Linked DNA regions of Mus musculus: region 2 is reported to be linked to region 1. The links are microRNA targets in miRTarBase. Many come from high-throughput screens and were not tested one by one. Region 1 holds a microRNA gene; the other region holds the end of a gene's coding sequence.

The links. The annotated mature microRNA mmu-miR-211-5p reads UUCCCUUUGUCAUCCUUUGCCU and lies in region 1 at 3,015-3,036, opposite strand. An mRNA with a match to its seed (bases 2 to 7 or 8) in the 3' UTR can be bound and repressed. Matches are read on the target gene's strand: a 7mer-m8 pairs with bases 2 to 8, a 7mer-A1 pairs with bases 2 to 7 and ends in A, and an 8mer does both.
Region 2: miRTarBase lists Ubp1 as a target of mmu-miR-211-5p. Seed matches in the 3' UTR shown: 7mer-m8 at 1,309-1,315.

What each region holds. Positions count from the first base shown.
Region 1 is chr7:64,204,342-64,208,866 of GRCm38, reverse strand. Mir211 (microRNA 211) reads right to left here and starts at 3,061; the gene lies at 2,956-3,061. Trpm1 (transient receptor potential cation channel, subfamily M, member 1) reads right to left here. Exons shown (of 27, transcript NM_001039104.2): 6 at 4,274-4,445; 7 at 417-591.
Region 2 is chr9:113,974,974-113,978,973 of GRCm38, forward strand. Ubp1 (upstream binding protein 1) reads left to right here. Exons shown (of 16, transcript NM_001372510.1): 16 at 373-3,054. The coding sequence ends at 410. Fbxl2 (F-box and leucine-rich repeat protein 2) reads right to left here. Exons shown (of 15, transcript NM_178624.6): 15 at 1,985-3,967. The coding sequence ends at 3,860. Among named protein-coding and RNA genes, the nearest start is that of Ubp1, 46 kb to the left of the region's middle.

The DNA of each region.
Region 1 (4,525 bases):
GTTCAAAGGGGTAAAGAGAGGGAAGGAAGCAAGGGAATTAGATCAGCTCCCAAGTGAGCCAGACAGTTTCGCCCACCCAGTACTTTTGATTTTGGACTGCTAATGGATGAGATTTGTGTACAGGAGACAAAAAGCCAACCCAGTCTAAAAGCAGCATTAAAAATTGGCCTGCGTTTAGCTCTTTGCAAGACTTAATACTGTAAAATAAAGTTGTAAGAGAGATGTCGGCAGAGAGGATTCAGTCAGGAACAGGAGCTCCTGGGCATTCTCATGCTGATCTCGGGAGCTCAGGAGAGAAGATCAAGAGAACCCCTTGTAAATTAGACATTTTGGGGGATATCTGAGGGGTGTCAGATGTTTTCCCCAGTCTGACAAAAAGCCATTAAGAGCTCACCCTTGTCACACACCAAACCTACCCTCCTTCGTCGCAGTATTTGTGTGCGAAGGACAAAATGTCAGAGGCACGTCCACTGCCATCGCAAACCACCACAGGGACAGGAGGGTCTTCTTTGAGATACTCCAGGACGATAGAAACCACGTTAGGACCACCTTCTACCACTAGGCCCACGACAGGTACACCCTGGCCCAGCCCTGCAACACAACCACACTTGTTGCTCACACAAACATGAACAGCTCCAACTTGCATTAAATGCCGAAACAGCAAAAAGCACAAACTTCCTGCCACAGGGCTTTCCTTGTAGTGCTAATGTTGACCAATGCTTCGACTAAGTCAAGCGAAGGGTGACTGTCTTCATTCTTGCATTCGAACTTCATATCATGGCCCCCCACTGTAAACTCCAAATTTCAGAACTCTTAAACTCCCTGACACGCCCATGTGACCCAACTCTGGTAAAGAATCCAACACAGGGACACCCGGCCAGTTTTAAAAGCATTGCTATGAAGGCTCCTTTTCTGCCTGCCTAGGTGTGAAATGCTAGGGGCTGTCTTCCAACAATGATCCAGTATAAGGAGGGCTGGACTGAGCCAGAGGGGAATTCAGCCCAATCTAGGGCCTCTCCTCTATCAGTAAAGCACTGCTGGACCATTCATTAAAGCGCCATCTCTCAGGTGACCAGTTGTAAAAGGATCAGGACCTCACTTATCTCAAGAAGAGCAACAGACCTGAAATATAAGAATAGATTTGGCTTTTACGTAGTGTTTGGGAAGTCAAAGAGGCACTCGTGTGGTAGTCTGCTCTTGTTGCTGCCTCCAGAGCCTCGAATACGGGAGAAAAGGTTGAGCATCACCCGTCCCCAAGACATCTTCCAAGACCAAATATTTGGATTGGAGATGATCATTGGTAAAGGGTATGCAAATATGTCCAAAATTTATAAATCCAAGACTAAAACACTTCTGGCCCCAGGATATTACCTTAGGGGTAAAAGCGTGGAGTACTATTAGCCCATTGCCAATGGCTTATTTCCAGAGTCTACTCTGATTTAAAATAAATAAATAATATAATTCTTCAAGGGCACAGTAGGAATAGACAAATTTTTGGTGATAGATCCAGCAGGAAGTGATGGGAGAATTCTGGAAGCTGAGATAATACTGGGGGGAAAGTGCTGGAGAGGAGGCTTCGTGACAAACTTGCCTACTTCAAAATGTCATCTCTGCCTGGCCAGAACATATTATAGAGTTGTTCCTAGGCATCTACTAGGGATTGGCTCCAGAACCTTATAACATCCCCCTGGACACCAAATTCAAGATGCTCAGGACTCTTATATAAAATGATGTAGCAGCTGCATGTATCTTCTCCTGTGTGCCTCAAGCCATCTCCAGGGGACTCATAACGCCTGGCATGATGCAATGACATGAAAGTAGTTATTATATTGTGTTTCTGAGGGATAGCAACTGGGAAAAAACTCCATACACATTAATTAAAGACAGAATTTCTCTCCTGAATGTTTTTCTGTCTGTGACCAGTGAAGTTTTGGGCTTTGGACCTTGGCAACACCCAGGCTCACTGACTGCTGATCAGGTTTTGCTTGGTTTCTGTAGTTGTGAGCAACATTACAAGAGACAAGAGGAAGGAAATGTCCTTGATGTTATGGTTCTCAAGAGCTTCCGATAAAATCTGCCAGCACGGGCTATAAGAAGCCTTGAGACTATCAATGAGTGAATTCAGAGTCTCTCTTTTTCTACTTTGTTTTCCCCAGTGGATACTTAAGGATTCAGGATAACTTTGTTGTCTCCTGTTAGAAGAATTACAGTTGAGTTTATTCCAGCCAGCAAATGGTGAAGATATGGCATAGGCTAAGCCAGCAGTTCTCAACCTGTGGGTCTCTACCCCTTAGGGGAGTCACGTATCAAATATCCTGCATATCAGATATTTACATTATGATTCATAAGAGTAACAATGTTGCAGTAATGAAGTAGCAACAAAAATAATTTTATGGTTTGAGGGGTCACCACAACACAAGTGACTGTATTAAAGGGTCAGAGTATTAGGAAGGGTGGGACCCACTGGGCTAAGCCATGAATAAGAAATAGTGGAAAATGAAGCCGGGCGGTGGTGGCGCACACCCTTAATCCTAGCACTTAGAAGGTAGAGTCAGGCAGATTTCTGAATTCGAGGCCAGCCTGGTCTACGGAGTGAGTTCCAAGACAAACAGGGCTATACAAAGAAACCCTGTCTCAAAAAAGAAAGAAAGAAAGAAAGAAAGAAAGAAAGAAAGAGAGAGAGAGAGAGAGAGAGAGAGAGAGAGAGAGGGAGGGAGGGAGGGAGGGAGGGAGGGAGGGAGGGAGGGAGGGAGGGAGGGAGAGAGAGAGAGAGAGAGAGAGAGAGAGAGAGAGAGAGAGAAAAGAAATAGTGGAAAATGGATCAGGGTGGCATCGTCTGTCTCTGAGATTTCCATCCAAGCGTGCTTGGGATTTTTACATCGTCAGGATCATGGCGACTTCATTTCCAGAAGCAGAGAAGAACTTGCTCTTGGCTCAGGCTAGGCTTCTGAACTCTCTGCAGTAGAGGTGACCACTGAGCCCCCCTTTGCTGTCCTTGCCTCACTCAGAGGCCTAGGCAAAGGATGACAAAGGGAAGCCCACAGGTCACAGGTCCAAGCAGAATTTACAAGTCCAAAAACACTAAATCAAACTGATTTATCCACCAAGATCTGATTCTTAGGACCTCCGCACTCATGAACTCACAGTGTGGCTGGCTGCACAGGATCAAGCCGGTCAGTATTCCAGCATGAGGGTGGGGAGGAGTTGACAAATTCCCTTCTGTGGGAAGGGAGTCAGTTTTTTTTTTTAAGTGTGCGGCCCTGATAGGTTGACCACACTCTAGTGGATGCCCCCACACCTGTGATTGCATGGTCAGAACAGTAGGAGTCAAGTAGTCATTTCTTTAAAAGAGGACATGAATTCAGGGGCTGTTTGGGAGGTGGGGGTAGATCTGGCACAAGTAGGGGAGGAATAGAATAATTGTATAAAACTAAATTGTATAAAACTCTCAGAGAATTAATAGAAATAGTTTAAGCTGATTCTTGGAAATCTATAGCCTTTAGGAGTAGGCACCCCAGTTCTAACCACTTGAGTGATACCACACTTCCTTACATTCTGACATTTTCCTAGTTCTAGATTGTGGTGCACAAAGATATTCCTGGTGATGATAAGAATGAAATATTCTGTGAGATCATTTCATAATTGTCTGGCAGAAGTTTTGCATGTGGGCATTTCCCAGAAGGTTATGGGTCCTCTCATCTGGTTGGGAGCCAGTCCTTTCTCTCTAATTTATCCTCACATTTCCCCCCAGCAGTGAGCTGTGCCATCTGGACCACCAAGTATGGTGACCATCAGGAACAGATGTCCCTGTAGCCAAGTCCAAGGATTTCCTTATCTCACCATCTTAGTCCATGTGGGAGACTGAGAGCTATAGAGATATGTAATGATCCTACAACACTCATTGGGTCACAATCTGAATTATACCAAATCTTTGGGAACAAGTTTTTAGGTTTTTTTTTCCTGATAAAACATGAAGGAAAATAATAGCAGTAAGTACACTGAACAAGACCGAGGGCAACATGGTGGGCAGTGCCATCACCATGACAACCATGACAAATAGTGCAAGGGTAAGTCTCAGACCAAATTGTGAACCTGGGCAAAACATCCCATGACTGCTCTGGGAGGGTGATTTGGTAGGTGGCTAGGGCAAAGAGTTTGAGCATAGTCCATGGACCTAGCAAGAATCAGCACCCTCTGGTAATTTCCTTCTCAGCTGGTTTCCACCCTGGTAGAGTCAGTCCCGAGCTGGTGCCCATGGCCTCCCAGGACTTACTTGTGTTGATCTTCTGCAGGGAGATGTGTTTTTCCAGCTGTCTTCGAAGCTTCACCTCAGCACCATACTTGCCCAGGGTGCCGTTGTCAGCCAAGATGAAGTGAGTGTGGGAATTGTTGAGCACAGAGAGCTTGCTCAGAGGGTTGGACATGGTCTGATAGACTCTTGTTACCTGACAGAAAGCATGATGTGAATCAAAGCTGCAGAATTTAGATATTAAGTGTCATAGGAGACACAAGAAATGAGTGTAAA
Region 2 (4,000 bases), not on the chromosome of region 1:
CACTGAGTCTCAGGACTTCCTGAGGCCATTAGGTCTTGCTATATCTACCTCCGAGGGTTCAGTTTTCCAGCAAAGAGACCCATCTACAGCAGAACCTGCAGGCTGCCTGCACATTTTCTGCAGGGCTTTCTCAGCTCTGCCCTCACATGGTGCTTTGGCCTATTTTGCGTTAGCATACAAGTGCATCTGCTGCTGCTCTCTTAAGCCCTTGCCCTGTAGATAGAGCTGGCAAATGATGCAGGCTGGGCTCCCTGAGCAGAGTTACAGGGAATGTGTCTGAGGGAAGAGGAGCTAGAACAGTGCAGTCAGTTTTAATACTGTATCTCTTCTAAGCTTAGAAGTTTTAACACCCCCCTCTTTTTTTTTTTGCAGCTGAAAATAATGATGGTATTCACATAATTTTGAAGTGATACCTTAAACGGACTGAACTCTATCCAGTACCAAATAAAGTCATGCTTAAAAGTGTGTGAAGACTGAATCCAAGAAGTCTTGGGATTGGATTTTACTGTGAAATGTTTCATATTGAAAACACAAGATGACCTTCCTAAGGAGCTGCAGGAGAGGCAAATCTCCTCAGTGTCACTGCCACAGCCCCAGCATCCTCGTGAGAGAGAGAGAGAGAGAGAGAGAGCCTGTGCGAGCGAGCGAGCATGTCAGGTGACATTCGACCCAGCTTCTACCGTGGTGGGCACAAGTACTTGCTTCCCTGGCAAGGGCCAGTGGACAGAACCCCCCAGAGCAGTTGCTGCTGCTTTTCACACTGTATGCAGTTTGAATTGAATGTAAAACTCAACCGTGGGCATTTACCTTTCTGTGCCAGTTTGGCTTTTGTTGCCTGAACCTTATGCTGGCCTGGGGAGGAGATAGAGTTGCCTCTGGGGGAGCTGCTCTGTACTGGGTGACACGGCCGTATGGGTCAGGTAAGAGGCTTAGCTCCTTCCTGAAGGTGGACATCAGAGGGGTCCTGCTAGACCCGAGCCGAGCCGAGCCGAGCCGAGCAGATGAGCAGACTGCACTCCCTGTCAGCCATTCCGTGTGCGAGGTCAGTGTAAGTCCTAATAGGTACCGAGGCTTGGGCGTTTGGCTTGGGCTTCCAGTTTTAGCATTTTAGTTTCTGGATTTCACCTTTGAAACCTCCTTGCCTTTTAAACTCATGTGGTTTCCTTTTCTCGTCTCCCCACCCCCTACTTGAGCCTCCAGGTGTGTATACTCCCTTGTCTTGTGCCTACTCTGTTCTTAAACATGTCTAAAGCCCTTCCCAGACCTCAGAACTAGATGATGGGGAAACAGTATCATGTCTCTGATATTAAAGGGATTTTTTTTTTAATGAGACAAAATTACCCTGGAAACACTAGATGTCATAACAAGACACTAAAATGTATCATAAACCTTCCCCCCGCCCAAATACCGAGTTTCAGTACAATCATGGCTAGATGGTGGCTGGTGGGGGCTCTGTACTCTGCATCGTTCATGCTTTGTCTGTAGCAGGTGTGCCTGTGAGTCACGCGTGCACACGGCCATCACCTCTCCTCTCTCTCACGACCTCTCGTGAGGCCTGTGGCATATCCGAGTTTTTAAAAACTTCTTTCCATTTTAATTCTGTAGCATCTTTGCCCATTTGCTTAGCTGCTGGCTGTGAATGCGCTTGTCTGACCCTTGTTGTTCAGGTGGGTAGGAATAATTACATTTTAAATGAAATCTCTTCCAGAAGACAGACTACTTCAATGGGTAAAGGCTTTAACAGCTTGTTTTATTCATACTGGGGATTAATTACTTGCCACAAAACAAACTGTCTCGATAATTTTCCTCTTGGGTTTGGCAGTGCTGTAGCCTTGCAGGCCCTTTAGGAGGGAGCGCTCCCATCCGTCCTTCCCTTTGCTTTGTGTGACCACATGCTTTCTGTACCATTCACTTACTTGGGAAAGAAGTGGACTTATCTCCTAATTGTTTTAGAATTTTGCTTGTCTATTTAGCTTTCCTTTTTGGATCTCATGATTTATGGAACAATAAATGTCATTTAATGCTGTGTATTATTTTGAATTCATTATCAGGTTTTAGAAGTGGGGTGAAAGTACTTACAGGCTCCTCAGACTTGAACTTGTGCTGAGCAGCACAAAGTGCTAGGCCGTCTCAGTGAAACTATACCTGGCCCATGGCACCAGCAGTCTGCTACTTTGGTTATAGGATGTACAGTTCAGTGTAATAAATGTTTTCTGATTGTTTTGTAAACGTGTCACTCATTTCAAATCTAAGCTGCACTGTTGTCATCTGAAGTCACATGGACTCAAGGGTTGGCCTCGATGTGCATGGTGTAAGATGTTCATCCCAATTTCCACAGAGGTGATGCAACTCAAGACAAGTAGTTACAGTAAGTGCCTGCTGCATACTTAGAAGAGACAGATCAGGCTCGAAGTCATGGTCACTGAGCATCAAGTCCACCATCTGCAATGAGCCACATCATTCTAGCTCAGAAAAAATTCCATAGTTGTCTCGGGTATTTCATAGAAGTGAGTCTCACGAGTCACTGGAGCAGGTCTAGTGCTTACTTAGCAGCTCCTCCAGCAGCCATGCCCCACCCCCCACCCCCCACACAGCGCCACAGTTAAGTAGCTGTTGTGGTAGTCGTACCCTTCGTATCACAGTACTCCTTACAAGGAGCCGTTCGCCTGATGAGTCTCTGGAATGTGTGTGTATCTGCTTTCCCTCCCAGAGTGCATCGGAGACACTGCATCTATGCAGATGCTTCAGTGCTGTCCACCGAGGCAGAAAAAGCTCTTTCTTGCAGTTGTGGTTGGGGTGGTTGCTGGAAGGTTCAGCTACCATTATTAATATTGAAGGTGGGAGGTCTCAGTGGCACAGAGCAGCAGCACCGTAATAGTAAAAGACAGCATCCTGGGACAGGGACAGGAGTGCCTGCATTTGCAAAAATCTGACTCCAGTGAGCAAGGTGAGGTGTTGTGAGTCTGAAGCTGCAAATACGTCATTCATTTGACAAGCTTTAAAACAGTTATGATTTCTAAAAATTCAGAGTAAATAAAAACCACATCCATTCTACATGCATCTGTTTGTTATTTTTACTTGATTATAGATAACTTGAGCCTTAATTCTGGATTTGCTTAAGGTTCCCGCAAATTTTTTGAGAAGTGTGGATGGACATAATTGGCTTTTTCCTTTTAACAGAAATGCACTGTGTGCTGTGGCATCTGGCAGAGCTTGTAATTCCCAGCGGATCAATGCAAAGGGGGTGGTTTTGGTCCCTAGAGTTGGGTATGACGAGTTGACACAAACAGAAAGGTGAAGATCCTGCCCCACCCAGCTTAGAGGCCTTGTTTCTTTGGTGTCTTATGGAAGTATGTTAACATGCCTTTCACACACACTTCTACATATGAAACTACCAGCCATTCTGAGTTTGCAGTACAATCACGTTCATAAAGGTGCTATTTAGTCTTTAAAGTGGACAAGTCCTGCAGATGGACAGAAATTGCTGTGAATTACATTAGGCCACTGGCTTAAGGATCAGGTAGAAACCAGCAGGCTCTTTTACTCTGCTCAGGTTGTGCTAACACTGAAGGTGTATATATAGAATGCTGACAAAGCCAGGTGGGACTTGTATACATAGGTACCCACCTCTGATGGGCTCTAGGTTGCACCACACCACTCTTGCTGTGGATGACACAGACCTGGATTTGCTTGCATCCTAGCAGTGTTAAGGTGAATAGCATTACCAGGTACTGTAATCTGTGCTGAAGTCTTTTACCTGTAATGTTTTCACCATGGAGAGTCGAGATAGGGTGACGATGGAACAGCCAGGAGACTGGTCTAACCTGGAGGATGGGGCCCGTGGCCTAAGCAGCTGCTGTCAGAGTATGACACAGCATCTGCACAGTCGATGTCCACTTCCTGCCACTGCTGGTGGAGGGGTGACTGGAGCAAAGTAGGCATGGACTTTGACATGAGGAAGCTGAGCCTAGAAGGAAATGGAAAAGGAGTCGTCTGCCCT